Linked DNA regions of Xenopus tropicalis. The protein of the gene in region 3 binds, or shares a complex with, the protein of the main gene of each other region. Links are inferred from orthologs where the notes say so. Each region holds a gene or a part of one and is shown on either strand. Other genes may lie near its edges.

What was found.
Region 1: acad9 (region 3) and coa1 share a complex: the UniProt entries of both Homo sapiens proteins name them as parts of the mitochondrial complex. The link is inferred for Xenopus tropicalis from reciprocal best matches to the Homo sapiens genes ACAD9 and COA1.
Region 2: the proteins of acad9 (region 3) and ecsit are in contact, whole or in part, in a cryo-EM structure (PDB 8PHE), measured with the Homo sapiens proteins. The link is inferred for Xenopus tropicalis from reciprocal best matches to the Homo sapiens genes ACAD9 and ECSIT. Residues at the interface, in NP_054768.2 of Homo sapiens: Leu180, Thr181, Asp188, Ala189, Ala190, Ser191, Ile192, Lys228, Lys239, Asp240, Lys241, Ile242, Phe293, Ala296, Met297, Leu300, Ile431, Met434, Tyr435, Leu438, Thr439, Leu441, Gln442, Gly445, Thr449, Leu516, Gly520, Lys521, Ile523, Met524; in NP_057665.2 of Homo sapiens: Pro321, Glu322, Glu323, Trp324, Asn325, Leu326, Tyr327, Tyr328, Pro329, Met330, Leu332, Asp333, Leu334.
Region 4: acad9 (region 3) and ndufaf1 share a complex: the UniProt entries of both Homo sapiens proteins name them as parts of the mitochondrial complex. The link is inferred for Xenopus tropicalis from reciprocal best matches to the Homo sapiens genes ACAD9 and NDUFAF1.
Region 5: acad9 (region 3) and tmem186 share a complex: the UniProt entries of both Homo sapiens proteins name them as parts of the mitochondrial complex. The link is inferred for Xenopus tropicalis from reciprocal best matches to the Homo sapiens genes ACAD9 and TMEM186.

Annotation. Positions count from the first base shown.
Region 1 is NC_030682.2:57,122,687-57,128,825, forward strand, and holds the end of coa1 (cytochrome c oxidase assembly factor 1 homolog), read left to right. Parts: intron 1-3,583; coding exon 3,584-3,660; intron 3,661-4,450; coding exon 4,451-4,550; 3' UTR 4,551-4,641; downstream 4,642-6,139. UniProt on the Homo sapiens protein: Component of the MITRAC (mitochondrial translation regulation assembly intermediate of cytochrome c oxidase complex) complex, that regulates cytochrome c oxidase assembly.
Region 2 is NC_030679.2:139,302,327-139,308,469, forward strand, and holds part of ecsit (evolutionarily conserved signaling intermediate in Toll pathway, mitochondrial precursor), read right to left. Parts: intron 6,037-6,143; coding exon 5,664-6,036; intron 2,580-5,663; coding exon 2,356-2,579; intron 2,276-2,355; coding exon 2,218-2,275; intron 1,969-2,217; coding exon 1,820-1,968; intron 820-1,819; coding exon 720-819; intron 439-719; coding exon of another isoform or gene 389-438; exon of another isoform or gene 315-388; intron 275-314; coding exon of another isoform or gene 225-274; exon of another isoform or gene 1-224.
Region 3 is NC_030680.2:151,576,595-151,582,537, reverse strand, and holds the end of acad9 (acyl-CoA dehydrogenase family member 9, mitochondrial), read right to left. Parts: intron 5,290-5,943; coding exon 5,161-5,289; intron 2,583-5,160; coding exon 2,510-2,582; intron 1,859-2,509; coding exon 1,758-1,858; 3' UTR 1,324-1,757; downstream 1-1,323. Other genes in the region: uncharacterized protein KIAA1257 homolog, read left to right, coding at 1-66, 201-397, 1,082-1,280. UniProt on the Homo sapiens protein: As part of the MCIA complex, primarily participates in the assembly of the mitochondrial complex I and therefore plays a role in oxidative phosphorylation.
Region 4 is NC_030684.2:115,760,667-115,767,346, forward strand, and holds the start of ndufaf1 (complex I intermediate-associated protein 30, mitochondrial), read right to left. Parts: upstream 3,741-6,680; 5' UTR 3,740-3,740; coding exon of another isoform or gene 3,738-3,739; coding exon 3,225-3,737; intron 1,219-3,224; coding exon 1,033-1,218; intron 1-1,032. UniProt on the Homo sapiens protein: As part of the MCIA complex, involved in the assembly of the mitochondrial complex I.
Region 5 is NC_030685.2:38,350,834-38,357,467, reverse strand, and holds tmem186 (transmembrane protein 186), read right to left. Parts: upstream 3,989-6,634; 5' UTR 3,894-3,988; intron 1,278-3,893; 5' UTR 1,269-1,277; coding exon 540-1,268; 3' UTR 355-539; downstream 1-354. Other genes in the region: pmm1 (phosphomannomutase 2), read left to right, coding at 4,164-4,226, 5,555-5,666. UniProt on the Homo sapiens protein: As part of the MCIA complex, required for efficient assembly of the mitochondrial complex I.

The DNA.
Region 1 (6,139 bases), on a different chromosome or scaffold from region 3:
AATCTTTTGTACTGTTATTATTATCCATTATTTATATAGTGCCAATATATTCTGTTGCACAGAGGTTTAACAACATTCACATCAGTCACAGTATGTAAATTCACATATTTACACACTACAGCCAGTTTTACCAGGAGGCAATTAAATTTCCTATGTTTTGGGAGGTTTAGACCCAGAGGAAACCCACACAGGAAACTAGCAGTTGCTTATGGGGCATTGCTGGGTTCGGTATTTCACACATCCAAATTTCATGCAAGGCTGCATTTCCCAGCCTCCTCCTTATGACTACAACCTGAATGAGGTCCTCACCTGATGGGATTTTAAAACCAGTACAGTCAGGGGGGCAGCCCATCAGCTGCTGACTTGGTTTGAAGGAGCCATGTTAACTTTGGTACCTGTATGGTCAGCTTAAAGGAACAGTTCAGCATAAAGATTAAATTGGGTAAAATAGATAGACTGTGAAAAAATATTTGTAATCTAGTTAGTTAGACAAAAATGTAATCTATAAAGGCTGGAGTGGGCAGATGTCTAATATAATGTCCAGAATCCTACTTCCTGCTTTACAACTCTCTAACTTCTTAGTTAGTCAGTGACTTTAGTCACTTTAGTTTGCTCACAAACTAACTGACAGTTATGTCCCTTGTGCCCCCCCCCTAAAGTCACTGACTAACTAACAGACTAGAGAGCTGAAAGTGTTCAGGCTATTATGTTAGACATCTGCCCATTCCAGCCTTTATAGATTACATTTTTGCCCAACTAACTATATTACAAATATTTTTATTTTGCGCAGTCTGTCTGTTTTACCCAGTTTCTTTTTTACATTGAACTGTTCTTTTAAAGGAACAGTAACACCAAAAAATGAAAGTATATAAAAGTAACTAAAATATAATGTGCTGCTGCCCTGCACTGGTAAAAGTTGTGTGTTTACTTCAGAAAGTCTACTATAGTTTATATAAATAAGCTGCTATGTAGCCATGGAGGCAGCCATTCAAAGGAGAAGAGGCACAGGCACATAACAGATAAAACACTATTGTATTCTACAGAACTTATCTGTTATCTGCTATGTAACCTGTGCCTTTTCTCCTTTTTTCCAGCTTAAATGGTTGCCCCCGTGGCTACACAGCAGCTTATTATATAAATTATAGTAGTGTTACTGTAGCAAACACACCAGTTTTACCAGTGCAGGGCAACAGTGCATTATATTTTTATTGCTTTACAGCTCTTTCATTTTTTGGAGTTACTGTTCCTTTAAGAAAGGAAACAGAGGACAGAATAGTTCTATAAGAGAGGGCTCTTGGGCTCACACACATGCCTCAGACCACTAATACCTTGCAAGAATCTCAACCATCATGTACTTTGAAGCTAGGGCTGAGTGCTTGTAGCTGCAAACAACAAATGAACAAAATATACTTTATTAACACTATATAAATTATTTAAATGTTGTTTCCTTCAGCAGTGGGAGTGATTCACTATCATAGCAAGCACCATTTTGTAGACATTTGCATCATCCTAAAATCTTGTGTATGCACCAGAATGGGGGACCTCAGGACCCACCCAAAATATATTTATAGGCTCCCTCTGCACAAAATTGTTTGTAACACGTGGGGAAAGCAAATTTGTCGGTCACGTACCCACTGCACATAATCACAGGGGACCTGCAACAGGAGCAAAGTTCCAGCTCACCTGTGACACCTCTCTCTCTCTCTCGTAGTTCAAGAAAGCAGACTGCTGGACCCCCTGTACCCCTGGGCTCCGTCTGCAGCTGTAGAGTCTGCTTCCTTGGTTTATGCCACTGATGCCCATGCACAGTCTTCACATTTCAAGCCCCGATGGGCCCACACACCCCAGTCTGACTCCTGAACAGCCCTACCACCATTTTCATTTTATTTAGTCAGAAGCTTTTGGGGAACAGGCACACCCAACTTTTCACCAGGTGCAGATCAGATGGGGAATCTCATCTCTCCCCCTCCAAATTACAATAGTCCAAAACATACTTTGATGCACTGTGGATTTTTTTTCATCAAAAATACAAAATCATTCTCTTTATTATATCAATGTTTTGACACCACAGAGGGATATCTTCCTCAGAATCCTAATATTTGCTAAGGGGCATAGTTAACAATTTTTTTCCCAGCAGAATGGATAAATAGAAATGCATTAACAGCACATATCATATATAGGGTTTCAGTGATGGTGAGACCATATAATTCAAGCAACCTCACATCCTGCCTGCTTCAATACTTGCAACATAAATATATTTTGTGCCCTACTCTTGGAGTTACTCTAAATGCTTATTATACCGGTGACCAGACCTTGACCTTTTGCCCAGGGGTGAGTGTGCCTAGAACCCTAATTTCAGTTGATTCAGGCAGGCATCTGTTGAGTCACAGGGTATTACTAGATGATATACAATCATTGTCATTAAAGCCTTAGAGAGAACAAAACAGCAAGTTACTCCTTGCTTGTCATTGCTGGCTAAGCATATCGGACTGCATGATGATAACAGTATTATACTGATAGGGAGCCCTAAGGACAGGTGGTAACCTTAAGCAACCACAAAAGCTGCTTATGTGCTGCTATGACATATGCTAAGGATTGCATGTTTCTTAGGGTATCTGGGAATTTCAGCCTGATACCAAAGCCATGGAGGCTTTAACAGCAGGGATAACTTTATGTAATAATGACTCGCATTCCATAAGCATGTCAATAAAACATATATAATAATATAATATTCATGTTATACAGAGGAGTATGTCATAGCATGTTAGCAAAAGTTTCCATATCCTGATATTGGTGAAACTTTGTATTTAATAAGTAATTTTTGCTCTATTTCTGCACTTTTGCCTGATCCCATATAAGTATTTCCTGTCCTGTGCAGGCATGTTATGGCTTGCTGGTTATTTATTTACTTGTGCTCAAACCACAGTACACTACGTTCATGGGCAGACTGGCAGACTGAGGGTGCCCACTGGTTTATACTTGCTGGTTACTTGCTGTGCCGGGAACTGACTGGATGCTCAGAGGGACTTGGATGCTTTATGAGCAGTGTAAAGCTTGGGTACCACAGCACAATAGCATTTAGCCAAGTCCCAATGCCACCAATATAATGATAGTTTGTGCATGGCTGCAGTAATAATATGTAACCACATTTGTACTCATTAGTAAATGAGTCCCCCTTTTTTCACAAGCTTCATACCTCATTGTAACTATTGAATGCAGTGGTCTCAGTTACTAAAGGACATCACAATGGGTCAGCTGTGGAAAGTAAATTTTCTATAATACAATATTAACACAGACAGTGGAAAATAGCAGTCTGGCCACAAAACGACATGTGCCACTGGTCGCTAGATAAATAAAGGAAAATAATACAAATAGAAATGTTGTTCTATGCCAGTGAAGGTATGCTGCTTGAGATGCACTCCACCTTCTCCTTCTTCCCTGTTATTAACAGAATCTCGCAGAACACAATGCACACAAATATGTAGGTAGGTCTCAGAACAGAAGCTTATTTCATATCATAGGAATTTGTAGCATGCTTGATAAAACAACCACTCAGCCTTAATAATTACTGATGTGTTTGCAGATCAAGATTCCAGTCTCAGGAACGTTGTCAGCTGGGCACCTTTATACCACGTCTGTCAGAGACCGAGTAAATAACAGGTGGGGGTGTGTGGCTGTATTGTTGTGTGGCCATTTTATCTACCTTTATCCTTTAATTAATATTTTCTTAAAAATACCATAACATATTTATAGGAAGAGAAACAAAACGAGATCTGTGTCTTAATTGTGCATGTTTCAGTCCAGTCCATGCTCTTAATGATGTTTCACTATGCCCACCAATCCATATGTTACAATATAATGCTAAATGTTTTGCTTGTATAGCTGCAAATCTACCCACACTATTATTTCTGATAAGGCAAAATAAATATAACAACGAGATTACCAGTTACCTACCTACCTAAAGGCCTTCACATGGTTCTTTGGCTTTAATTTTTGTCTGCTGTTTTAAATTTTGGAGCCTTTATGGAATATGCAAAATAGTATTCTTGTATCAGGGATGTTTAACCTGTAGCCCTTTAGCTGTAGATAAACTACAACCACCAGCAATCTTGCTGATTTGGGAAAGAGTGACGACACCTGTGGAGCCACTTGTGTATATATATATATATATATATATATATAAATATATATATACAGTATATATATATTATAAATAAGCCACCCCATATGTTCTGCACTCATAATGTACACACATAATGTAGCATCTGCCTGTGTGCTGCCATATGAGAATATATAAATTCACATAATAAACAACAAACATACTCCAGGGCTTCATAATGTGGTGAAAAAGAAAAAAAGTATTTATTTGTCAGCCTTTCGGTTCATGTTTGGGACCTTTCTCGAGACACAGAAAAACAAGATTTTTGTCTCTGTCTGTCCGTCCCTTCAGGTGGTCTCTTCAGGAAGTCATCTTGCAACTGAATAATGGTCTGCGCATTCCAATCCATGAATCCAATGTGGCAGATGGAGATGAAAAGGAAACTTTATAAAATATTTTTGTTAAGATAATAAAACCGTTTTTTCATATGCTGCATGTTTATTAAGGGAACTGATACCTAAAATAAATATTTATGGGTGATATAAGAAAATAAACTGTGGATTATTGGGGGGGTTATAGTAGGGGTTGTGTAATGAGCTTTTGTCAGGATTGCAAATGATCTGCAAAAATCCTTCAGGTTCAGTCAACTAAATCCACGTATTGCGAATTTAGTGTATAAAAAGAGCCATTAAGTGCTGCTTACATCTACCTACCTCAGGTTTTATTGTGTAAAGGACTTTGGTTCCCTTTTTTTTGTTTTAGCGAGGATTTTGCTAACAGATGAAAGTGTGGAATAATTGATTTTATGTTCATCCTGCATGAGCAATTCAGTCAAAATTAACAATTCAGGACTATGGCATTCTTTTTCACTGATTTTTATGTACCCTTTTTTATGCATCTGCATTAATTGTTAATTAGCCATACAGGGAATTGGTAATGGAAGAACAAAAGAGAGCCTTTAATGGCCTCTCCCCATTCAACAGTTGTATCTGAGATTTGTGTTCCCATTTTTCTGCCCCCAACCAGAGGGCTGGTATTATTGACAGGAAAAAGTGGCAACCCAATGGACAGCCTGCTGTTTTCTCTCATTCTCTAAGCAGACAAGGTTGAGCCAAGAACCTGAAGCATGTAGTTCAGGGTCCCCAACCTTTCTTACTCATGGCCACTATCAAATTTAAAAAGACTCACAAGCCACTGGTTGGAGATCACTGATGTAGTGTATGTGACTAAAGGATAGTGAGTGGGACTAATATCTGCCACTGAAGGGCTACTGTGAGTTGTATAACATCTCTGTTTTTTGCATGTTTCCCTAACAATTTTCTGTTAGGTGCAGTGTTGGACTGGCCCACCAGAATACTTGGAGAGCTACTGGTGGGCCCTCCTGCTCCTGACCATTTGACCTTCATGGTCATTCCCTATTTCTGAATGAAAACAAGGAGGAGAAATAGCAGAAGGATATATGCTAGCATGTAAATAAAAGAGACTAGGAGAATAAAGAGATTGGGTGAGGAAAGGAGGTGGAATATCATTGTTATTATCCTTTATATATTGTGCTGACATCTTAGTCAGCACATTACAGAAATTATACATCATTCACATCAGTCACCTAACCAGTGGAGCTTACAATATAAAGTGCTCTTACATGATGGGGTTCTGTACCAGCCCAAGGCAACCATGGCCCTTTAGCAGGGAAGATCTGTGCCTCCAAATATGCCCCAGTAGCTCCTCATCTTCTTTCTGCTAATTCCCTGCACATGCTCTGTGCTGCTGTCAGTTACTGAGTTTAGGGACCAACTCACAATATACTGTATACAGTATAATTATAAATGTTACAATATAAGGCTGAATAGTAAATAATTTGATGATTGTTACATGGCATCTCTGAACCCAGTTCAAATACCCTCAGAATTTAATAAACAGCCCTGTAGCATTAGCTTGTATGACAGGCAAACTCCATTTTCTACTTGAAAATGTGTGACAACTCCTAAGCTTAGATTCTCAACAGCTGCCCCGAGCACACTGAGCATGTGCGTGTCACTG
Region 2 (6,143 bases), on a different chromosome or scaffold from region 3:
CACATAGCAAAGACGGGGCCCTCCTCCACTGTAACAGGGGAAATAAAGAAGGGTACATCATCAGTAGGCAGAACCAGCCATGCACATAGCAAATACGGGGCCCTCCTCCACTGTAACAGGGGAAATAAAGAAGGGTACATCATCAGTAGGCAGAACCAGCCATGCACATAGCAAAGACGGGGCCCTCCTCCACTGTAACAGGGGAAATAAAGACGGGTACATCATCAGTAGGCAGAACCAGCCATGCACATAGCAAAGACGGGGCCCTCCTCCACTGTAACAGGGGAAATAAAGAAGGGTACATCATCAGTAGGCAGAACCAGCCATGCACATAGCAAAGATGGGGCCCTCCTCCACTGTAACAGGGGAAATAAAGAAGGGTACATCATCAGTAGGCAGAACCAGCCATGCACATAGCAAAGATGGGGCCCTCCTCCACTGTAACAGGGGAAATAAAGAAGGGTACATCATCAGTAGGTGAAAGACCAATGAGGGTTCATATTTTAGAAGGGTCAGTAAAGGATATTTTCTGGGGAACAAGAAACCTCTGGTAGTGTGTGTTATATGTCAGTCACCTCTATCCAACCAGGGTCGGCCCTTTTACCTTATTCACCCAATAAGCTACACCAACCCCCACCCTACCCATACTTTCCAATGTAGGATAGAACTGTACGTAATGGCCCCAGAGATACACAGAGCATTGCAGAACCCCTTCTTACCATCATCAACATCAAAGCTGTCATCATCGCCCAGGTCCCTGTCCAGCTCCAGGTCCAAGCTCAGGGGATAGTATAAGCTCCTCTCATTGTCTATCTCCTCCTAGGGAAGAGAGAGGTGTAGTAAGGTTAGAGTACATTTCCGAGCATATGCTATGCTGAATTTTTCCTTCTCCCCTTATATATACAGTTTATGGCCACACTTACAGCCACAGCCAATGTCATCAGTGTGAATCAATTGTAACCAGAATCACAGGAAATCACAGGTACGAGTTCTTGGTGACCATCACACATTTATTTTTGATTGCAGTCAGGACTGGCCAACCAGTAACTTTTAGTGGAAAATATGGGGTTGGGTCACAGACTGATCTGGAAATGGTATAACCCACCATTTTCCACAGCTCCCTTCTAGTCTAAACTTTTGGTTCTTCTGTCCCTCAGAACTGTTCTCTTCTGCCAGTGATCCAAATTGGCCCTGGTATTCCAAGTACACAGAGGCCCAACCAGCCTCCCCGCCACCAGCCCAGACTGTCTATGGCAGGGGTCCTCAAACTATGGCCCGCGGGCCAGATACAGCCCCCCCAAGGTCATTTACCCATCCCCCGCTGCGTCCTCACCCCTGGCTACTACCTGTCTAGCGTCATTTGTCTTGGCTGGTGTGACGCGGTGATGTGACGCGCTGGGGCTGAGGACCACCCTGAGGCAGACTGGTAGTAGCCAGGGATGAGGACGCAGTGGAGGTGGGGGTAGGACTAACTATAGTCCCCTGTTTAAAAAGTTTGAGGACCCCTGGTCTATGGCACCTTACAGAAGCCCCTCTGGCAAGTGAATATCAGGCCAGTGATTACCAGCAGGGCCCAATGGGTCCTGGAAACCATCCTGGGCCAAATGGAAGCTTCCATGCCTGCCATTTAGAGCAAGAGAGAAGCTTCCTGCGTATTCAGTTTCAAAAGCACACAAACAAGTCACACAACAGTTAGTTTGGCATATTTCTCCTTTAATTAGACACGTGGGTTGTGAGATGTTAACGCCAAACAGTGTTGAAACAATCGGTACAGATCCCAGACACACCCACTTAATCATTTAATGGAATCAACTCTCACCTCCTTTCTCATAGGATCGGGGTCAGCACGTAGGATGTAGTAGTACACACACGTCTTCCTGAGCCACAGCGGGAAGGGCCCCTCAACGTATACAGGGGTGCTGGGGTTGTGTGCAGCAAGGAGGGAGACCTGACTGGGAGACTGAATACCTACAAAAGACACAGTGATAGGAATATAATAACCAAGCCCTACTTACCGACAAGGGGGTACAGACAGGAGCAATAGATTCGGCAATTCAATTTGTTCACCATAAAGTGAAAAGCAGTGAGAGTACAGGCTTTGCTTTTACCTCTGTGGCCCCACCAGTAGGTGGCGCAGTGCAACATATTGAAATACTGTTTCTTTTTAAACTGATTAACCCTCTCATCATAGTGTATCTGGGACAGAGCAACACCTACCGACAACGTGCAGATGCTCCCGTTCTTTGCCATCGTCGCATTTCTCTGTGTAGGGCATCTGTATATTATCAGAACAGACTGTTAGCTCCTTGCACACAGTTTTTACAGATGACAGTAGGTGGGTGTGAGAATACTCGCCTGGTACACGGCGACCCTAGAATCCAAGTCGTTGGCAATACGATGCAGGCACATCCTGGATAGCTCCACTGGGTCAGCTGGTAATTCAGCAGGAACCGGGAAGGGGTTGGTGTGTTTAAAGCGTGGGAACCAGTACATCATACGCTGGTATTTTCTTATGGGGTGGCTGCGGGCCCCAAAGATCTGTAGCAGGAGAAAGCATGTTTGCTTGTTGGGGGTGATACCTACAAAAAATTGTAAAAGAGAGAAATCTGTCTGCTTAGTATCCACTATTTGTGTTTATTATATGGGGCAAACATGTCCCATAGCCCCCTCCTGTCTGTGTCACTGTATCACCCTGCAGTGGGAGGGGCAGACTCCGTGTCCCATAGCCCCCTCCTGTCTGTGTCACTGTATCACCCTGCAGTGGGAGGGGCAGACATGTCCCATAGCCCCCTCCTGTCTGTGTCACTGTATCACCCTGCAGTGGGAGGGGCAGACTCCGTGTCCCATAGCCCCCTCCCGTCTGTGTCACTGTATCACCCTGCAGTGGGAGGGGCAGACTCCATGTCCCATAGCCCCCTCCTGTCTGTGTCACTGTATCACCCTGCAGTGGGAGGGGCAGACTCCATGTCCCATAGCTCCCTCCTGTCTGTGTCACTGTATCACCCTGCAGTGGGAGGGACAGACTCCGTGTCCCATAGCCCCCTCCTGTCTGTGTCACTGTATCACCCTGCAGTGGGAGGGACAGACTCCGTGTCCCATAGCCCCCTCCTGTCTGTGTCACTGTATCACCCTGCAGTGGGAAGGGCAGACTCCATGTCCCATAGCTCCCTCCTGTCTGTGTCACTGTATCACCCTGCAGTGGGAGGGACAGACTCCGTGTCCCATAGCTCCCTCCTGTCTGTGTCACTGTATCACCCTGCAGTGGGAGGGACAGACTCCGTGTCCCATAGCCCCCTCCTGTCTGTGTCACTGTATCACCCTGCAGTGGGAGGGGCAGCCTCCATGTCCCATAGCTCCCTCCTGTCTGTGTTACTGTATCACCCTGCAGTGGGAGGGACAGACTCCGTGTCCCATAGCCCCCTCCTGTCTGTGTCACTGTATCACCCTGCAGTGGGAGGGGCAGACTCCATGTCCAATAGCTCCCTCCTGTCTGTGTCACTGTATCACCCTGCAGTGGGAGGGGCAGACTCCATGTCCCATAGCTCCCTCCTGTCTGTGTCACTGTATCACCCTGCAGTGGGAGGGGCAGACTCCGTGTCCCATAGCCCCCTCCTGTCTGTGTCACTGTATCACCCTGCAGTGGGAGGGGCAGACTCTGTGTCCCATAGCTCCCTCCTGTCTGTGTCACTGTATCACCCTGCAGTGGGAGGGGCAGACTCTGTGTCCCATAGCTCCCTCCTGTCTGTGTCACTGTATCACCTTGCAGTGGGAGGGGCAGACTCCATGTCCCATAGCCCCCTCCTGTCTGTGTCACTGTATCACCCTGCAGTGGGAGGGGCAGACTCCATGTCCCATAGCTCCCTCCTGTCTGTGTCACTGTATCACCCTGCAGTGGGAGGGACAGACTCCGTGTCCCATAGCCCCCTCCTGTCTGTGTCACTGTATCACCCTGCAGTGGGAGGGGCAGACTCCATGTCCCATAGCTCCCTCCTGTCTGTGTCACTGTATCACCCTGCAGTGGGAGGGGCAGACTCAGTGTCCCATAGCCCCCTCCTGTCTGTGTCACTGTATCACCCTGCAGTGGGAGGGGCAGACTCCGTGTCCCATAGCTCCCTCCTGTCTGTGTCACTGTATCACCCTGCAGTGGGAGGGGCAGACTCCGTGTCCCATAGCTCCCTCCTGTCTGTGTCACTGTATCACCCTGCAGTGGGAGGGGCAGACATGTCCCATAGCTCCCTCCTTGTCTGTGTCACTGTATCACCCTGCAGCGGGAGGGACAGACTCCATGTCCCATAGCTCCCTCCTGTCTGTGTCACTGTATCACCCTGCAGTGGGAGGGACAGACTCCGTGTCCCATAGCCCCCTCCCGTCTGTGTCACTGTATCACCCTGCAGTGGGAGGGGCAGACTCCATGTCCCATAGCTCCCTCCTGTCTGTGTCACTGTATCACCCTGCAGTGGGAGGGGCAGACTCCGTGTCCCATAGCCCCCTCCTGTCTGTGTCACTGTATCACCCTGCAGTGGGAGGGGCAGACTCCATGTCCCATAGCCCCCTCCTGTCTGTGTCACTGTATCACCCTGCAGTGGGAGGGGCAGACTCCATGTCCCATAGCTCCCTCCTGTCTGTGTCACTGTATCACCCTGCAGTGGGAGGGACAGACTCCGTGTCCCATAGCCCCCTCCTGTCTGTGTCACTGTATCACCCTGCAGTGGGAGGGGCAGACTCCATGTCCCATAGCTCCCTCCTGTCTGTGTCACTGTATCACCCTGCAGTGGGAGGGGCAGACTCCGTGTCCCATAGCCCCCTCCTGTCTGTGTCACTGTATCACCCTGCAGTGGGAGGGGCAGACTCCGTGTCCCATAGCTCCCTCCTGTCTGTGTCACTGTATCACCTTGCAGTGGGAGGGGCAGACTCTGTGTCCCATAGCCCCCTCCTGTCTGTGTCACTGTATCACCCTGCAGTGGGAGGGGCAGACTCCGTGTCCCATAGCTCCCTCCTGTCTGTGTCACTGTATCACCCTGCAGTGGGAGGGGCAGACTCAGTGTCCCATAGCCCCCTCCTGTCTGTGTCACTGTATCACCCTGCAGTGGGAGGGGCAGACTCCGTGTCCCATAGCTCCCTCCTGTCTGTGTCACTGTATCACCCTGCAGTGGGAGGGGCAGACATGTCCCATAGCCCCCTCCTGTCTGTGTCACTGTATCACCCTGCAGCGGGAGGGACAGACTCCATGTCCCATAGCTCCCTCCTGTCTGTGTCACTGTATCACCCTGCAGTGGGAGGGACAGACTCAGTGTCCCATAGCCCCCTCCTGTCTGTGTCACTGTATCACCCTGCAGTGGGAGGGACAGACTCCGTGTTCCATAGCTCCCTCCTGTCTGTGTCACTGTATCACCCTGCAGTGGGAGGGGCAGACATGTCCCATAGCCCCCTCCTGTCTGTGTCACTGTATCACCCTGCAGCGGGAGGGACAGACTCCATGTCCCATAGCTCCCTCCTGTCTGTGTCACTGTATCACCCTGCAGTGGGAGGGACAGACTCCGTGTCCCATAGCCCCCTCCTGTCTGTGTCACTGTATCACCCTGCAGTGGGAGGGACAGACTCCATGTCCCATAGCCCCCTCCTTGGCCCATAGTAAGTAGTGTAGTAAGTAGTAGGCTCTTTACCGTAATTCTCCATCTGCTCTAGCACCCTTATGGCGCACTCCTGCTGGCGTGGGTAGTGGTTGAACATCCTCTGGATGTAATTTTGGGGGACAAAGACCTCCTTGGGAAACACGTCAAGCAATTTATTATAAACCTCCAAGTCCTTTTCCACCCCAAACTCCGTCATCCATCTAAGAGCCGCCTCTATGATCTCCACATGTCCTCTCCTCCTCACATCTCGGTTGCAGTAAAGATCAAGGACCTCCACAAAGGAGGCTTTGTTCCTCTGCTCCCTCTGGAACACATCCTCGTATGGAGTAACCGAGCCGGCTGAGGAAGTGGCTTGGGGAGGCCCAGGAGGCGGAGATGTGTGAAGACAGCAGGTCACCTGTTTCTGGAAGACGACATGCACAGGATAACATTTCTGATTAAGCTTCCAGGGAAGTTCTATTACTCAGGTGACAATATGCAGTGGTTGCCCACTAGGTACAAAACCCCACA
Region 3 (5,943 bases):
CTGGAGGGGCTCCTGAAGGATAAACCTGCCAAACTGTCTCTGCGCCGGGCCGGCCTGGCACTGAAGGTATGGGGGGCCCCCAGCACTGGGGCGCAGGGAGTACTGGAATGAAACATGGGGCAAGTGCTGGGGTAACAGGGCAGATTACTGGGGGGGGGGGGGAATGGGCCGGCATTTATGATGAATTTATTCTTGTGCAGCCGGTGCCGGCGCTGTCTGTGCTGCAGAACTCTGGGCCCAACCCCAATTACATTGGCCAGGAGGGGGGGCAGCTCCGTGCCAGTCACTTTGTGCCAGGAGAGTTGGGGCGCCACCGCCTGACGTGGGAAGGAAACGCAATCCCCTGTCCCAACACAGAGCGTGGAAAGTTCCAGCAACTGAAAGGCCAAGACTTCAAGTGAGTCCAGTTATAGTTACACTACAGCTCTGGGGGCGGGGCAACTTATTATTAGCAATCCTATTGGCCAGAGACAAGCAGTGGCAGACAGGGGGGTGGTGTGCACCCCCAAATACAGTGCTTATATCTTTGCTCCCCCACTGTCAGCCCCACCCTCCTCTCCCTCCCACATTTCTATTCCCCTCCCCATTTCTCCTGGTTGGTTATTATGGGAATGCCCTGGGTCAGGCCCCGGCCCCGTGGGTTACTATGGGAATGCCCTGGGTCAGGCCCCGGCCCCGTGGGTTACTATGGGAATGCCCTGGGTCAGGCCCCGGCCCCGTGGGTTACTATGGGAATGCCCTGGGTCAGGCCCCGGCCCCGTGGGTTACTATGGGAATGCCCTGGGTCAGGCCCCGGCCCCGTGGGTTACTATGGGAATGCCCTGGGTCAGGCCCCGGCCCCGTGGGTTACTATGGGAATGCCCTGGGTCAGGCCCCGGCCCCGTGGGTTACTATGGGAATGCCCTGGGTCAGGCCCCGGCCCCGTGGGTTACTATGGGAATGCCCTGGGTCAGGCCCCGGCCCCGTGGGTTACTATGGGAATGCCCTGGCACCGCTGGTTACTATGGGAATGCCCTGGGTCACGGTGGCAGCACCAAACATTACCCTGTATGATTCCTTATTCCCCGTTTCTCTGCCGCAGCCTAAACTGCTCCCAGCACTCGTTTCTGTACAAAGGAGAAATAAAGGATCTGAGCCCAGAAGAGAGAGGGGTTCTGCTGGCGCTGGCCCAGACCCGGGCACAGGGGGGCACAGAGCCGGGCACAAAGAGAAGGGTTCAGGCCTCCGGCAACATTATCCAGACCCAGAGCCACAATGGATTCCTGCTGCAGGTTCAGTAAACTCCGCCCCTTTCACATATGAGAATAATGATTCGCCGGTGGATAACAGAGTCGCTGCCCTTTATTGTAGCAGAAATAAAACAGCAGGTAAACTTCCCCTTTATTGTTTGGGTGTCACTTCCTCCTGGTGTGATTGGCTCCTGGGCACATGGGGCGGTGCCTGTTCAAACCATTACATCAAGGACCACAAGCTCCGCCCAATCAAAGTCAGTAATACTGTGGCCCCCAGCATTGCAATAAAGAAGGCACACAGGGGATTCTGGGAGAGGTAGTTCCACTAAAGCTACAGGCCTGAAGGCACTTACGGTGGAAACGGAATCTTCCCGACCAATCAGAAAAGGAGATCAATGAAATTTAATCAAAATCTGGTACAAAGTAGCGATAAGTTCTGTGCAAACGAACCCCCAGCTCTGGGCTCTGATTGGTGCGACTGGCGCCTACGCCCCGGGGTAACTAAGTCCATTGGGCAAGTGCCGCTCAGAAGGTTCTGTCCAGGGGGTGGGAGCAGGTGTACCCCCTCTTCTCCAGAACGTGCGCCGCGATCTTCCGGATACTGTCGTCCTGGTTCTCCGGGGAATCTGCGCGGAACAGACAGCTGATTGGCCGGCAGCGTGAGGGGTCAGCGCTATTGGCCGGCAGCGTGAGGGGTCAGCGCTATTGGCCGGCAGCGTGAGGGGTCAGCGCTATTGGCCGGCAGCGTGAGGGGTCAGCGCTATTGGCCGGCAGCGTGAGGGGTCAGCGCTATTGGCCGGCAGCGTGAGGGGTCAGCGCTATTGGCCGGCAGCGTGAGGGGTCAGCGCTATTGGCCGGCAGCGTGAGGGGTCAGCGCTATTGGCCGGCAGCGTGAGGGGTCAGCGCTATTGGCCGGCAGCGTGAGGGGTCAGCGCTATTGGCCGGCAGCGTGAGGGGTCAGCGCTATTGGCCGGCGCCACACAGGGGATAGTTGGCCTTTAAACTGACTATAAGTATTTCCCGAAGTGAAATTCCTCTTTGCAGTTGGTCTTCATTGTGCCCCAACCCTGAGTCCTTGCCTTGAATACCCGGGATCTCCAACCCCACCCCACCCCCCCCCCCCCCCCCCCAGCTGCCCCCCCCCCCCCCTAGGGCACATAGGGGCCCCAAACTGAACAACAACAGTTAAAAAATGGAACCTGTGAAAACAAAGACCAACTGCAAAGCTGCTTCAGAACCTCACTGCTCTTAGAGGCCGGGCCGGGGGCGGTACTTACGCTTGCCCAGCTGGGCCAGGGTGTAGTTGTTCTTGAAATAAGCCTCGGAGCAGAACATGTTGGCCAACAGCACCTGGGGGGGGCAAACAGGCAAATGAGACCAAATGAGGTGCTAGGGACCCACTCTCGGGGTACTGGGCACACAGACTGGCCCCTGGGCCTATAGGAACCGCACACACTGGGTGCTAGGGACCCACTCTCGGGGTACTGGGCACACAGACTGGCCCCTGGGCCTATAGGAACCACACACACTGGGTGCTAGGGACCCACTCTCGGGGTACTGGGCACACAGACTGGCCCCTGGGCCTATAGGAACCGCACACACTGGGTGCTAGGGACCCACTCTCAGGGTACTGGGCACACAGACTGGCCCCTGGGCCTATAGGAACCACACACACTGGGTGCTAGGGACCCACTCTCGGGGTACTGGGCACACAGACTGGCCCCTGGGCCAACAGACAGGCTACTGGTTCCCCTGTGACCCATTTTAGAGGTTCGGGGAGAGCGAGATCTGTCACTTTATTTAGCGTGAATTGGTCCCCGGGGGGCGCTGTTTCATTGGGGTCTATTTGGGGGGACCTGACTTCAGTTACCAGAGAGAAATCAAGTGTGGGGCCCAGTGGGGCTAGCTGGGATGTCTGTAGGGCAGAGTGTGGCGCAGCACCAGCGGGCACCAACCCACATCCACTTCAAATGCCTTAGACTCTACCACCATTGCAGATAGCCCTGGTGGCTACTATAAGTACTATTATGGGTGCTACTATAGGTGCTACTATGGGTGCTACTGTGAGTACTACTAAAGGTGCTACTGTGAGTACTACTATAGGTGCTACTGTGAGTACTACTATAGGTGCTACTGTGGGTGCTACTGTGAGTACTACTATAGGTGCTACTGTGGGTGCTACTAGAGGTACTACAGTGGGTGCTACTGTGAGTACTACTATAGGTACTACTGTGGGTGCTACTGTGAGTACTATTATAGGTACTACTGTGGGTACTACTATAGGTGCTACTATGGGTGCTACTGTGAGTACTACTATAGGTACTACTGTGGGTGCTACTGTGAGTACTACTATAGGTGCTACTGTGAGTACTACTATAGGTACTACTGTGGGTACTACTATAGGTGCTACTGTGAGTACTACTATAGGTACTACTGTGGGTACTACTATAGGTGCTACTGTGAGTACTACTATAGGTACTACTGTGGGTACTACTATAGGTGCTACTGTGAGTACTACTATGGGTACTACTGTGGGTACTACTATAGGTGCTACTGTGAGTACTACTATAGGTACTACTGTGGGTACTACTATAGGTGCTACTGTGAGTACTACTATGGGTACTACTATAGGTACTACTGTGGGTGCTACTATAGGTGCTACTGTGAGTACTACTATAGGTGCTACTGTGAGTACTACTATAGGTACTACTGTGGGTGCTACTATAGGTGCTACTGTGAGTACTATTATAGGTGCTACTGTGAGTACTACTATAGGTACTACTGTGGGTGCTACTATAGGTGCTATTGTGGGTACTACTATAGGTGCTACTGTGGGTACTACTATAGGTACTACTGTGGGTACTACTATAGGTGCTACTGTGAGTACTACTATGGGTACTACTATAGGTACTACTATAGGTACTACTGTGGGTGCTACTATAGGTGCTACTGTGAGTACTACTATAGGTGCTACTGTGAGTACTACTATAGGTACTACTGTGGGTGCTACTATAGGTGCTACTGTGAGTACTATTATAGGTGCTACTGTGAGTACTACTATAGGTACTACTGTGGGTGCTACTATAGGTGCTATTGTGGGTACTACTATAGGTGCTACTGTGGGTACTACTATAGGTACTACTGTGGGTACTACTGTGGGTGCTACTATAGGTGCTACTGTGAGTACTACTATAGGTGCTACTGTGAGTACTACTATAGGTGCTACTGTGAGTACTACTATAGGTGCTACTGTGAGTACTACTATGGGTACTACTGTGGGTGCTACTATAGGTGCTACTGTGAGTACTACTATGGGTGCTACTGTGAGTACTACTATAGGTACTACTGTGGGTGCTACTATAGGTGCTACTGTGAGTACTACTATAGGTGCTACTATGGGTGCTACTGTGAGTACTACTATGGGTGCTACTATAGGTGCTACTGTGAGTACTACTATAGGTGCTACTATGGGTACTACTATAGGTGCTACTATGGGTACTACTATAGGTGCTACTATGGGATAGGAAGTGGGACCTGGAGCTAAAGTGAGTACAATAATAAATAAGACCAATAACAGGGAAATGATAAGGAATATAATATTTATATGAGGAAATGGAGCCGCAGAGCTGCGCAGGGGGGCCCCCTAGTGACCAAATACATTTATATTCTCGCACAGATGATAAAGTTACAAATTTTTTTTAGTTTATTTCAATCCATTAAACCCCACACAGAGCCCAGCGCTCCCCCCGCACTTACCCACCGGCTCCTACAGGGGGAGTAACTCCCATATAAACAGATCCCAAGCCTCACCCCCCATTACATAAACCAATATAAAATACATCAGTTATTATTTTCCACTTTATCATCTGTGCAGGAATATATATTAATAGTGAGTACCAACCCCACGGGCCGGGGGCTGGGCACTTACCTCGTGGTCATGATTGCGCAGCCCAATACTGATAGAGCGACTCGCCCTGGAAATAACGGCCGTCATGGCGTAAAGATTGATCAGCACATCCGCCACCCTCTTCAGCGCCAACTGCTCCTCCACTATGGTCTGCGGCAGAACCAACATCAGTACAGAACTTCCCCCCCACCCCCAGTGTATCACTCATTCTCCCTCTCTGGGTAGGGAACCCCATAACCTGACTGCGCTTACAGTAAGGAACCCCTTCCTATCCTGATGGTGAGATCCCCTTTCCTCCCCACCCCCAATGTATCCCTCATTCCCCTTCTCTTGGTAGGGAACCCCATAACCTGACTGCCCTTACAGTAAGGAACCCCTTCCTATGCTGATGGTGAGATCCCCTTCCCTCCCCACCCCCAATGTATCACTCATTCCCCCTCTCTGGGTAGGGAACCCCATAACCTGACTGCCCTTACAGTAAGGAACCCCTTCCTATGCTGATGGTGAGATCCCCTTTCCTCCCCACCCCCAATGTATCCCTCATTCCCCCTCTCTTGGTAGGGAACCCCATAACCTGACTGCCCTTTTAGTAAGGAACCCCTTCCTATGCTGATGGCGAGATCTCCTTTCCTCCCCACCCCCAATGTATCCCTCATTCCCCCTCTCTGGGTAGGGAACCCCATAACCTGACTGCCCTTACAGTAAGGAACCCCTTCCTATGCTGATGCTGAGGGCAGGCAAAGGGGAGCAGACCCCCAGTTACTGCAGCGCCACATTATACAGGAATCTGAGTTTGCAATTCTT
Region 4 (6,680 bases), on a different chromosome or scaffold from region 3:
CAAAGTGCATTAGGAGCAAGTACATAGATAAACAGATAAAAAAAAAGGTTTTAATATACACAATTACAGTAGGTTTACTTTCTGTAAATCCCAGCTTTTATATTACTGGTCCAATCCTGTTTGGGGAAGTAAGCAACTTCCATTTGACAGTTATAGCCTGCCGAGCCTAGCCTGGCCTCTGGGTGTGTAGGAGGTGGTCACTAATGAAGGCCAAGTAGGCAGAGACTCAGGTAAGCTGCTTGGTCAGTGTGTTACTAACCACCTCCCGATACTTTGCGTGTAGGCCCAAAGCATAAGGGTCACAGAACTTTTTCCCAGCACACATCTAGGACATTTAGCCATTTAATAAAGGCTTATGGATGTATCATCCTTTCAGGTTTAAAGAGTCAAACAATGAGAACTCTAAAGCCTCCTTACAATTGTCATTTGGCACAGTGCCCAGGTCCTGTATCAGATATACAAATTGCATAATATTTTCTACCATTAGCTGCTATTATTTTTTCACATCTTACTGCCAGTTATTTGAACCTTTCCCGAAAAGGAAAAAAGAAAGGTTAGGATTCATCCCTTACGTGTAACTCTCAGGATATTGTAGTGCAAAACCTTATGTTTAAATAGATGTTTACAGATGGGGGAAACTCCCATCTCCTCTGGGTTACAGAGGGAGAGAAGTCCTGAAAAATGAGGACTTTCTGCCCGTTATCCTTATACACTCATCCCATCCGCTATAGTCTTTGTGCTCTGGGCAACTAAGGGGTCCGGGCAGGGTGAAATGGGGCACCCCTCTGTCTAAGCAGGAAACTCAGAACAATGGCATCCATTAGGAAGGCCCACCCACCGGAAGTCCAATGTCCCCATGCTTAAACTGCCCAAGCTTGATGTTTTTTTTAATGACACCTCTTCTCTGCAGGAAGTGGCTGCAATCTGTCATTTTTAGATGGGATTAAACTATTACACAGCCAGATATTAGTTTGCCCAATCTTGGCAAACTCATCCCAACCTCAAATACAGGATTTAATGGTTTTCTTTTACCTTTATGTCTTGCCAGTAAGGGCCTCCTTGGGTGTATATGAAATAATTGTATAGATCATCCCTTTGTTGGGAGAAATAGCTGTCTGACTTGATGTTCACCATCCAAGGTCGTCCATCCCCACGTACTCGCAAGTACAGAGTGTTAAAGTTGGACCAGTCATAATGCAGCTTACGATTGAATGCTCCCTACATGTTAAAAACAAACAATCATGAAACATTTATGTGCATTGATTTATACCCTGAGGTTTTTGCAATGACAGATTTATTACTCTGGAGAAGACAGGCCATGGTTGCAATCACACATGTGAAATGTTATTTGTTGGTAAAGCCAAGCTGGCAGTCTGCTAACGTTCATTATTATCTGGCCACTGGGGGAGCTGTTACATTAAAGTTTATGGAGATAAATACTTAAAGAAAAACTGTCATGGGAAAACATTTTTTCAAAATATATCAGTTAATACAGCTTCTTCAGCAGAATCCTGCATTGAAATACAATTTTTTAAAGCACAAACATTTTTTATTTTGTATTTCACATTGGGTTAGACATATTCTTCATTTCCCAGGGTGCCACAGTCATGTGACCTGTGATCTGATAAACTTCAGTCACTCTTTACTGCTGAGCTGCAAGTTGGAGTGATATCCCCCCTCCCAGCAGCCGATCAGCAGAACAATGGGAAGCGAGCAAGATAGCAGCTCCCAGTAGGTATCAGAATAGCACTCAATAGCAAGAAATCCAAGTCCGGCTTGGGACTCCTCCAGTTACATTGGAGTAGGAGATATATTAAGTTACCTGAAAGCAGTTCTAATATGTAGCACTGGCTCCTTCTGAAAGCTCAGACACACAATGCACTGAGATGGCGCCTACACACCAATATTACAGCTAAAAAATACATTTGTTGGTTCAAGAATAAAGTGTTAAATGGTAGAGTGAATTATTTGCTATGTAACCAGTGTAATTCAGAAATAAAAAGTATGCCATAAAAATCATGACAGAATCCTTTTACCTAAAAGAGGAAATAAATTGGAGGTAAACCATGCATATTTCATAAAAATTGTTTATAATGGAAATGGTAATGGTCCACTCCAGTAAGTAACAAAAACCAAAGGCCGTTGGCCCTCCAGCTATAAATCTCCAGCTTTCCCTAATGGCCACTGTAGTTTGATGCATGTTGCACATACCTACCATTAAATATTCAATAAACAGACTGTGCACACTTAACTGGTTTCAATATAAAATGTAGCAGTTCACCAACATTCTCATTAGTCTTTTATTTGGAACTGCTATCAGATCAGTCTAAATATTAAATAAAGGCAGTGAATAAATGGTACAGTGTAGCCTTTAAACATTTAATAATGAGCACAGCAACCCACACCTTTACTGCCTTTTATAGAACATTTCCCCCTGACACTGCCATATATTTAACCCAATATATAAAAAGGCAATAATTTTGCCTAGGTGCCGTAACCCATTAGCAACCAATAAAATGGGTAGAGCTATTCTAAAACAACAATAATAACTATTTGGACAGTTATTATCTGTGTGTAGCTTCTGTTCCGCAGCTCTTCTGTGTTGCATAGTAACCACACTGTTGTTAAGAGGGACAGTGGCTCAAGGGCAGAGGCTAAAACACAACAATGCTTTCCTATTGCAGTTGCATTGAGTGGCTTATCTAGCTTAAATCTGCCCATGTATGGCCTTAAGTCTGCCCTACAGACGCCTGGGAAAGGTAATTAAGCCATGTAGCACTGTGTATTTTTCCCAACAGTAGCACCAACCCCAGGGATAAAGACATAGCAATTTTATTCACTCGGGGGGCGCCCAACATATTGGCATCCCACAGTGAATTTGCTATTCCTTCATATTTAAAAGTTACATTTAAAAAAAAAAAAAAAAATTTATGAACACTAAAAATATTTAGCAACAGATGTGATTCTTTAAGTTCAGCTTTAGTATGTTACACTGTAGACTTATTTGTTACAACTTTTCAAGTGGTTTTCAATATTTTTTAATCATAGTTTTTGAATTATTTGACTTCTTCTGGCTCTTTCTGGCTTTCAAATGGGGGTCACTGACCCCAGAAGCCAAACTGTGTCAGAATATCAGTCTTTACATCAGACTAAAAGTAAATATAAAGGCGAACAACCCCTTTACATGGAAGTGCATTATTTCTCTTTACTAGCACTGTACTTACCAAAGGGGTTTTGGACTTCATAGTGCAGTACCCACTGTATCTTGTTTCGCCATCCCGAGGAACTTCAGTATTGAGGGTACCATAAAAAAGAGCTGTCTGATTGTTCCTTCCCAGCTTTAGAGACACCTGACTTTTCCCTCCTATCTCCTGGTCTGACGATAGAGTCCATTTGTCCAGATCCTCTAAGCTTCTGAACTCCCAAACAACATTTGTCTGCTCCAAAATATTCTCCCTCAAAGTCTTTCCCCCAGGACCTCTCAAATGATCCTCTACTTCCTTCTTCAGCAACCCAAAGTGTTTCTTCACTCCTGCCACTCCCTTCTCAAAGCTGAAATTGATCCTTTTCCAAGGAGGAGTGTTGTCTGGGGGGAGGCCAGGCCTGCGATATTTGCTGCTGTACAGTTTGCATTGCAAGAGTTGTGAAGACGGGTGCAACAATGGGCAGAATGGTTTAGTCCATCTGGGATGTCTGCACAGATGTAGCTTCTGTATTATATTTAAGCTTAAAGCCATTGCTGTTTAGATATAAAATAAAAATGTTCAGTTTATAAAATCCTGAATGTTGCATGAAACCCAGGGGCCTTTACCTAAAAATAATTTGGGGTTTGAGAGAAAAAGACAATATCATTTAAGACATTTAAATACAAATACATTTTTTAAAGAAATCTGTAGAAGTTACTGTGTTTTTCCTCAGGGCGCAATTATCAACATCAAAGATTCTTGGGGGGGGGGGGTTATTTACAAACATATCTGCACCATTGCAACCAACCAACATTGAATACATTACAGCAGTGGGGAGCATCAGGTAAGGTGTGAAGTTTAAGAGAGCAACTCGCTTGGGGGAAGGGACAGAGACATGTGCTAAGTAGGTATTGTGGGTTTAGGGCTCATACATTTCCTAGCAATGCATGCTGATACATATACAGAGAGATCATCATCAATAACCAAAAGGCTTACCCCTGGAAGCAGAAGCTTAGGAAGGCAAGGTCATCATTTCAGCAGAGACTGACATAACAAAAGAAGGTCAAGTTGGTGCAAAACAATGTAAATGACAGAAAGGAGCTTGGATACTATGTGCCTTTATTGCCTAAGTGGTAAAGCCCTGAAGGACCCTGCATAGCTGCCTGTACCGCAACAAGTTCCATTATATACCTGGTATGGGGCTGCAGCTGAAGCAAGCACACAGTATTACCATTATTCCATAAGGCTACAGCGGCTCACCTCCACAGTGCACTCCTTCAAGGAGCCATAGTACTGACAACCCGTGAACCTCTGAGCATGCGTGTCCGTGTCGCCTCCTAATGACCTCACCGCTAGCCAACCAATTAAACGTGAGAGCGGGCAGGCAAAGGCAGGCATGCGCAGATGCGTTGCTGATGGAACGCATGGGAAAGCGTTTGTATACAGCTTTATTTACACCTAACAAACATTCTTGAAGACAACGTTACAGATTAGTCTACCTAACTAAGATTATCATTCATCTATCCAGCCATCACGTGCATTCAAAATTATGAATTTATAAGAAACAGTGAGTTAAGAAGATCGTGTTAGTTTGTGTAAAAAGCTTAATACATATACCACATACTAGGCAATATTGCATCCCTTTTCCTCAGTTTTAAATATTATCCTTTATTTATATATCACTCATATATAAATGCAGCACATTGCATTGATTATGATACTCATCTGCCCCTTTGCCATTGGAGCTTACAATCTAAGGTCCCTATATCATTTACATACACTAAGGTCACTTTCATCAAAGGCCAATAAAGCTCACTGTATGGTTTAAGAGGAATCACAGTTCCCAGAGGAAACCCACACAAGCACAGGAAAAACATACAGTGCCCAGATTGGAACCAAATTCAGGGAGCCGTGCTAATTACAGGCCACCAGTGTAGTTTACATCATATGTCTTAAGTATTTACTATTAGGCCTTCAGTGCTACTTGGTGAAAGTAAATATCCAAAAAAGAAAAAACTGCCAATTGATGACCTGATTCATTCTCTGGATTGGCCACATTTTAATTAGCCAAATGGAGCAAAATCTTGTATGTGACCAAAACGTTAACAATAAAACTGTTTCCTAACACTTAGTAAGGCCTGTGAGTGCAGTTACTTTTTTATTGATTTTCTATATGTGTACATGAATGCATGTGCATGTGCATATGAGTTGGAGCCAGTCCCACAGTACCAGACACAAAAAGCCGCAAAAGACTTTGTCCTTTCTTAATATCACAAAATTACAAAGTTGATAAAAAAAAATAGTTTGAGTAGGAAGCATTTAAGGGAAACTAACACAAAAATGATTGTTATAGATGTTACAGATAGTGTATGTATACAGGTGTTTCTAGTTATAATGAATTTACCATTTGGAAACACAACAGATAAGCACACCGCCATCTTACCAGCGGCTGTGCTGGTCTATTCCCAGACTGATTAGGGTTGTATTTAACACACAACTGCCATGGATAAGCATTTGATAACAAGTGCTTTCTGTAACAGTGCTCAGCTTACTACTATTTTAAATAGAGTGTCTTTATGCCATTTTGTTAACTTTGTTCTATTTGAGTTAAATCTGCTTTGTTTTGTTTTATAGTTGGAGTAGATAGAGGTAGAGCAGGGATCCCCAACCTTTTATGAGCCACATTCAAATGGAAATAGTGTTAGGGAGCAACAGAAGCATGGAAAAAGGTCCCGGGGGTGCAAACAAGAGCTATAATTGGCTATTTGGTAGCCCCTATCTGGACTGGCAGCCTATAGAAGGCTCTGTTTGGCTTTACACTTGGTTTGTATGCAACCAAAACTTGCCTCCTTACCAAAAATGTTAAAATAAGCAGCTGCTTTGAGGCCACTGGGAGCAACATGTAAGGGGTTGGGGGGCAACATGTTACTCACGAGCCACTGGTTGGGGATCACTGAGGTAGAGGGAAGTCATCAAGGTCACAGCAAAAGCTATAATCCCCCATTTGCCTGATATTTGTATGTTACCCAAACTCCACCCCCCATTCACCCAGTATTGGCTGAAATTCATAAATGCATATTTTTTTTATCAAATAGTGAGTTTTAACTTTCACCCACTGATAAACAGGCTTCTAAAAATCCCATAGGAATGAATAGAATATGGGTGAGTTTTTATGTATTAAGCGCTAAGCTCACATTTTGATAAATCTGTTCCATACTGTATGTGAATGTGATAGGAATCTTAGATTGTAAGCTTCACCAGGGCAGGGACTGATGTGAATGATGTATATTCTCTCCAACGCATTGGGTAAAATGTGGCAGTGCAATAATTGTAAATAACAGGCAATAAATAATATATAACAGTTCAGTGTTGAATGCCTCTTTTCTTTGCTTCATGTTGCTTAGACAAGAAATAACACTGTTTGGAGCACCAAAGTTTGAAATTACTTGGCCAGTTGGCATGGACCTAAACAGTTTCCCTTAGCCTAACACCAGT
Region 5 (6,634 bases), on a different chromosome or scaffold from region 3:
CTTCAGTTAAATAGGAAACAGCACTCTGGCTGAAGAATGCCAGTACTGGGGCTGACATGTGTTTCCTATTAGAGTGAAAGGGATGCAGAGGGATAAGAGAGGCACTTCTCTGCCACCAGCCTAATAATCAAAGATGAGATCCTCCATCTTTTTGTGAAGTCAAATTTTTAAAACCCTATTCTCAAGCCTTAAAAATGAATAGAGACTAGGAACAGGGAATTTCATTCTCATGACTTGCCATTTTTATTTCCTTATTTCTGTAGTCCTGATTATTAGCTAGCAGGTTATGTATGTCAGTAACCTGGATACTCACAGGATATTTGTCCATCCTAAACTATCTTCTGCTCATGTTAAAAGGGTATGTATGTGTGCAAATATATCTATATATCATTGTATACTGCCTGAGTGTATTTTACTGCATTTCCAAGCAGGAACTATTATCAACCAATAGAAAAGCAAATTATCAATTTATTTCCAAGCAAACAGGAAACTGAAGCACTTACTTTAATTATTTTTATTTAGGCTAACTTGCACTTTAATTACTTCAAATCGTCTATACATTTTATAGCTCCAAACAGTCTAATAAACTTCTCTTTGTCCAAAATGATTCCAAACTGAGAAGTAAAATACAGTGTGTCTGAGCTACTATATCGTTTGAACTGGAGGATAGTTTCACGTCTGTGGTCTCCAGTCTCTGAGAGTGCTTTCACATCATCAATTGGAATATAAAGATCCTTCCTCTTTCCCCAAAATGTCAGATGGGAAACTTTTAAGGTGGTGCCTGCTGTGTTTAAATATATCATCCCAATAATTCTTCTGAGGTAGAAACTCAGGCAGTACAGCATAAGACCTGCAAACAGTGCTGTGCCAGTAGAATACACAACCCATAAATATGTGACCTGACCTTGAATATAGTAATAATACATGGGCGGAAGGAATATAGCAGTCAGTGCTGTCTGAAGAAGCTTTAGACGAGAAACAGCTCGGCAGTACTTTATTCCTGGAAACTTATAAATCATCGTGAACTTCTCAGTGTTACTGATCCCGGCTAAGAGAGGAGGAGATGAAGAGAAATAAATCTGATTCATTAGAGGAAGTGGTGCTTTGCTTCGATGATGAAGAAAGAGATAAGAACAGCCTTGACATGATGTCAGTGACACTGAAGAGGATCTGAAGAAAGTTGTTCTGCAAAGTAACTTGGAACTCCAGGCCAACTGGCCCATGTGTAAATACTTTATGCATCTAGATATCAGGCATACATGGGCCATGACTGGGTCCTGCAAAGGAGAAACAATATAACTGTTAGATCATAATGCCTTATATATACTCACATTACCTAAAATTTTTCAAGGAAAAGTTCACAGAAAATTGAAATTATTAGCCTTCCTATTCTGCTTATTTTCCACCCACAGCTTTCTATTCTTATCTTGTATTTCTTATCTTTCTGTTCATACCCTCTATTATTCATCTTACATTCTGTGTTCCAAACTACTGCATTGTGGCTATGGTACCTGTTGCTAATTAACTGCCTCTTGGACTGTCTATACCAGTACTGTGCTGCAATTTACATGTAGTGCTCAAATAATTTGTCATACCACATGTTCCAAGGCCAGAATATGTTATAGAATGGCATGATTTCAGCTACTTTTTTTTTTTTAATTTTGTTTTTTAATGATTTGCTTTCCACTTCTGCCTCTTTCCAAGTTTTAAATTCAAAAAGTTATTTCTTTCTCAGGTAACAATTTTATTGTTATTATTACTTATCGTTCATCTTTCAGTCTCTCATTTAAAGGGGTAGTTCACCTTTAAATTAAATTTTACTATGATGTAGAGAGTGATATTCGGAAACAATTTGCAATTTGGATTTTCAGCAGCTAACTGGTTGCTAGGGGTCAATTTAACGTAGAAACCAGGCCCTGGATTAAAAGAGGCCAGAACATTAAAATGAGAGGGCATGTATATAAGGATAAGGCTAAAAAGTTTCAATAATAACTAGAAAGGGAAGTTTGAGAAAAAACTTCATGTTGGGTTGAAAAACATGAAGTCACTGCATGGGCTCCTCCAACTTTCTCTGACCTTGGACCACAGTTATACAGTAAAAACCACTGTGCAAAGTTTGGGGACCCTGGTTTTAATAGTGTCTGAATGGCAGCAACTTAAATTTGATTGGTGGTTGGTGGCTCAACCCCCTTTTTCTAACCTGGAACTGCAGTTACCCAGTGACTAACTCTGGTAAGTTTAGGGACCCTAGGATTAATAGTTAAAGAACGGCAGCAGTTTAAACCAATAAAAGTCAATAGGTGAATTGTGATTGGTGGTTGTGCCCCTTTTTCTAACCTTGAGTCAAAGTCACCCAGTGACAAACAGTGGGCACCCTGGCATAAATAGTGTGAGACTGGCAGCATTTTAAATTTAAAGCAAAATTGAAAGTCAATAGGTAAACTCTGATTGGCTGTTGGTGGCTCCGTCCACTTTTTTAACCTTGAACCACAGTCACCTGGTGCCTAACCCTGCAAAGTTTGGGGACTTCCACCGTCAACAGGTAAAATCTGATTGGCTGTTCACAGCTCCGCCCACTTTTGGGCATCCAACAATCATCATATTTTCATTCAGGCTGGCCCCATGACTATGTGATTCAAGTTTGGGGAGTGTAGCCTCAAAGCTGTAAGATTGGCAGCAGTTTCAATTTCCCCATTAAAGTCAATGGGTAAAATTTGATTGGCCCCTCCCACTTTGGGGGTCATCCAACAAATGTTGCTGTTTCATTCGGGGTGACCCCATTATTATGTTATTCAAGTTTGGGGGGTGCAGCTTCAAAGCTGTAAGTGTGCCAGCAGTTTGAATATCTTCCCTGTCAAAGTCAATGGAAAAATTGGGGGGTTCGGAGCGGCGCAATCGCTTAGAAAAGCACAAGCAACCTGCTCCTCTATAGGCCGAAGAAGTGTGGGGAGTTTGGGTGTTGTACCCCTAAAACTGTAGGAGGAGTAGCGGTTAGAAAATGGGGGGCACTAAGAAGAAGAAGAAGCGGAAGAATAATAATGGGTCAGTGACCCCCCATATGACAGCTGGAAAGAGAATTTCTGAGAAAGGCAAATAATTGAAAAATTATAAAAGTTAAAAAATGAAGACCAATGAAAAATTTGGGACATTCTTAAAATAGTAAAAATTGACAAAAAGGTGAATAATCCCTTTAAAAAAAAGACTTGTGGCAACAATGGATTAAATACCAATGCACATTGGCATAACTAGATGTTACTGGGCATCTTTGCAGTCCTGTAGATTGTAAGCTCTTGCGAGCAGGGCCCTCTCACCCTATTCTTACTCTGCATACCCGTGTTTGTTAAACTTTTTAAAATCCCTGTTTGTTTAAATTTATTGTGAAGTGGTGCATAATTTGCTGGCATTATATAAATGAATGATGATTCTGCCTATTTGAGTAAGTAACAGGGGTGATGAAGGGGTTAAACGCCCTTGGCCACTCAGTTTAACCCATATATCTGCTGGCAGGATGGCAAAGATACCCACTTTGATGCCCCTTTTCCTTAGTTGTTTATCAGACTGAATAAGAAAGGATTGCCCCCTTGGTGCCAGTTTTCCTGCCTTTCCGGGCCAGGCTGGGACAAGCCGGAGTTAACGTAGCGCAACGCTGTCAATGAATGTGATCTGTTAAATTTGTGGTGCAAGTTTATTTCTTTAAAACACCAGTTACTAATAAAACCAACATCAAGGCACCCAACGCCCTTCTTATTTATTTTTGCATTTCTCTTGTGCATAGCAATTTTCTGTTTCTAAATACATCAATTTTTTAAATAAAATGTCATATTTGAACACTTCCTTGTACGAGTTCCCTAAGCCTAAGGGAAGGACAGGCAGCTCGATTCTTCTATACTCACCCCTGTCCGCACTCCTACACACGCTTCTCCTTTGCTAAACTTCCCAGCGCACTAAGCTACAATCACTTCCGATTCCATGCGAGGCATTCTGGGAGATTGAGTTCTTTTGTCAATGAACAGTCGGTGACATCCTGACTCCGGCAATACAGTTCCCGTCATGCTCTGGGCTTCAGGACCCAAATAGGAAGTTGTGATGTGGCTTGTTTGACATTTGAAAGGACTGTGTTTCTCCATTCATCTGAGCTGAGAAAGATCCGACTGGCAGCAGTCATGGCTCAATGTGACGTTCTGTGCTTGTTCGATGTGGATGGCACCCTGACAGCAGCCAGGCAGGTACCAGTATCAGAACCGAGAACTATTCACAAGGATCTGTCACTTTTGGCACAAGTTTATTTTCACACAGCATTGCAAACATGTTATGTGTGTATATGTTGCATTTATATACTGCATGTAAATGCAGTGCTTAAAGTTAACGCAATAGGACAGAGTAAGATTAAGACTTTACCAGAATATAAATAACAGTACAAAATTCTACCCTTCTGCCCCATTAAGTTTATAGTTTATGTTGGATTCCGGGCTGCAACCGGGAATTCATAGTGTATGTTGCATTTCAGTAAAATGCATCCATTTTGACCTGCTAATTGCATAGAATTGATTTAGAAGGGGGGGGGGGGTTAAATTCCCTTTATATATTATAACATTATTATAAGTACTAAGAGGTAGCTAACAAATTGTGACCACATCAGTGATTAAGCTTTTTCCTTGTACTAAGTCTAGAAGTAGGTAAAATTAGGTAAAAAATTAATACATTTCACTTTACTTCTAAAAAAGTGATGGTCAGTGTTTACACCTTCTATGGGGAATAAGTTTTCTTGTACTTGTGACTGGGTTTATCTTTTTTACTGACAAACAACAAAGGTCTTAGCTTGCTTTATGACAATAAACATTTAGTACATGCTGCTTGGAGTACATTTTGGGACACACTGCTAATGACAAGCACTGCTACAAGTAGGTGAAATCACCAAGAAGCTCTGTATCTTCGAGTAATCCTAGATTACTTTTTTTTTTTTATGCACTGTCTGCATAAAAAGTAAGGATAATTTTAACAAAATGCAGATATTGGTTCAAACTGCCATGTTTTTTGCACAATTGAACTCAGCCTGCATTCACACCATGGATGCAGGTCTTTGTGGTCCAGCGAGGAGTTCAAGACCCTGTGCACCCCCAACCTGACAACCTGAAAAAACAGGCACTCTGCAGAGCTGTATTCACAAGGGACCACTGGGGAGGGGGCATATAGGAGTTTTCTATCCTTCCCCCCTAATTGCATTTCATTCTATCTTTGGGAGGCTAAAAATTCATGCCCGCCAGCACATTAATTATTAATCTGCTGTGAGGTGCAGAGCATAGCTGGCCCTTATGCTGGGTAAATGGTCAGTAATAGGCAGAATTTTGAGCCCCTTTGAGCTGTAGCATTTGCACGTGGGACAATGATAAATGACCCCAGCATGTCTTGCATTTACATGAATGATGCAGGCAATAGGGAGCTGAAGTTCAACCATGATAAAGGGTCCATCTTTTGGACCCCATGTTTGAGAGAATTATGAGTACGATTTTTCCCAGAGCAGTATATTTTATTATATTATTATTGTATTTTACAGAAAGTCACAAAAGACATGGCAGAATTTCTAGAAGAGCTGAGAAAAAGGGTAAAAGTTGGGGTTGTTGGAGGTTCAGATTTTGAAAAAATCAAGGAACAGCTTGGAGATGATGGTAAGGCAAACAAACATGACAAAGGCGAATAAACAAAGATGACTGTTGAAAATGACTCCAATGAAACAGCTAAAGAAAGATATAGTAAAGGGGTGGTTCACCTTTAGGTAAGCTTTATAGAATGTTATAGCAACTTTGCAGTTGGTCTTATTATATAAATTATTATTAATAATAATATTAATAAGAATTAATATTTCTTTTATAGTTTTTAAATTACTTGCCTGTCTCTTTTGACTCTTTTCACTGGACCCAGCAGCTGAGGCTACATTTATTGTTATTGTATTAGTTATATTTCTATTTAGGCCCTTCTCTGTTCGTATTCCCAACTCTTGTGCAAACAACTGCCTGGTTGCTAGGGTAAATTGCACCATAGCAACCAGATAGCTGCTAAAATACCAAAGTGGAGAGCTGCTAAAAAAAAACCAAAATAACTGAAAAACCATAAAAATTACGACCAATTGCAAATTGTTTTAGAATATCCAATTGTCTGCATCATACTAAAAGTTATTTTAAGGTGAACTACCCCTTTAGGTAAGACACAAGTGTCCATCACATTTGTGTTGACTGACAACTGTGAATACTGTCAGGCTTCTTACGTACTAGAGAGCACTAGTAGTGCATTCTGCAGAGTGCATAAACAAGAGCAGATTGGTGTGTTTTCTTTATTTGCAGTGAACCATTTCTAAACTGCAGGGACTTGTATTTGCTCCTACAGGGGTCACGAAAAATTTGCACCACCAGGCAATGGCATGCTGGGGAGCACTACTTGCACCCTATGTAAGGCTGGACAAGGACAACCACTTGCAAGTACCTTGCATTCATTCATAAAATGCAAGCAGACACACCTGTGAATGCAAGTTGTATCCAAAACCCCGTACTTGGCAGCCATGACATAAAGAGCGCCCTTGTTGCACAGTACACTGCAGTCTATGCCTTGTGGTGAATATGCTGACTGAGGTGCAGAGTGC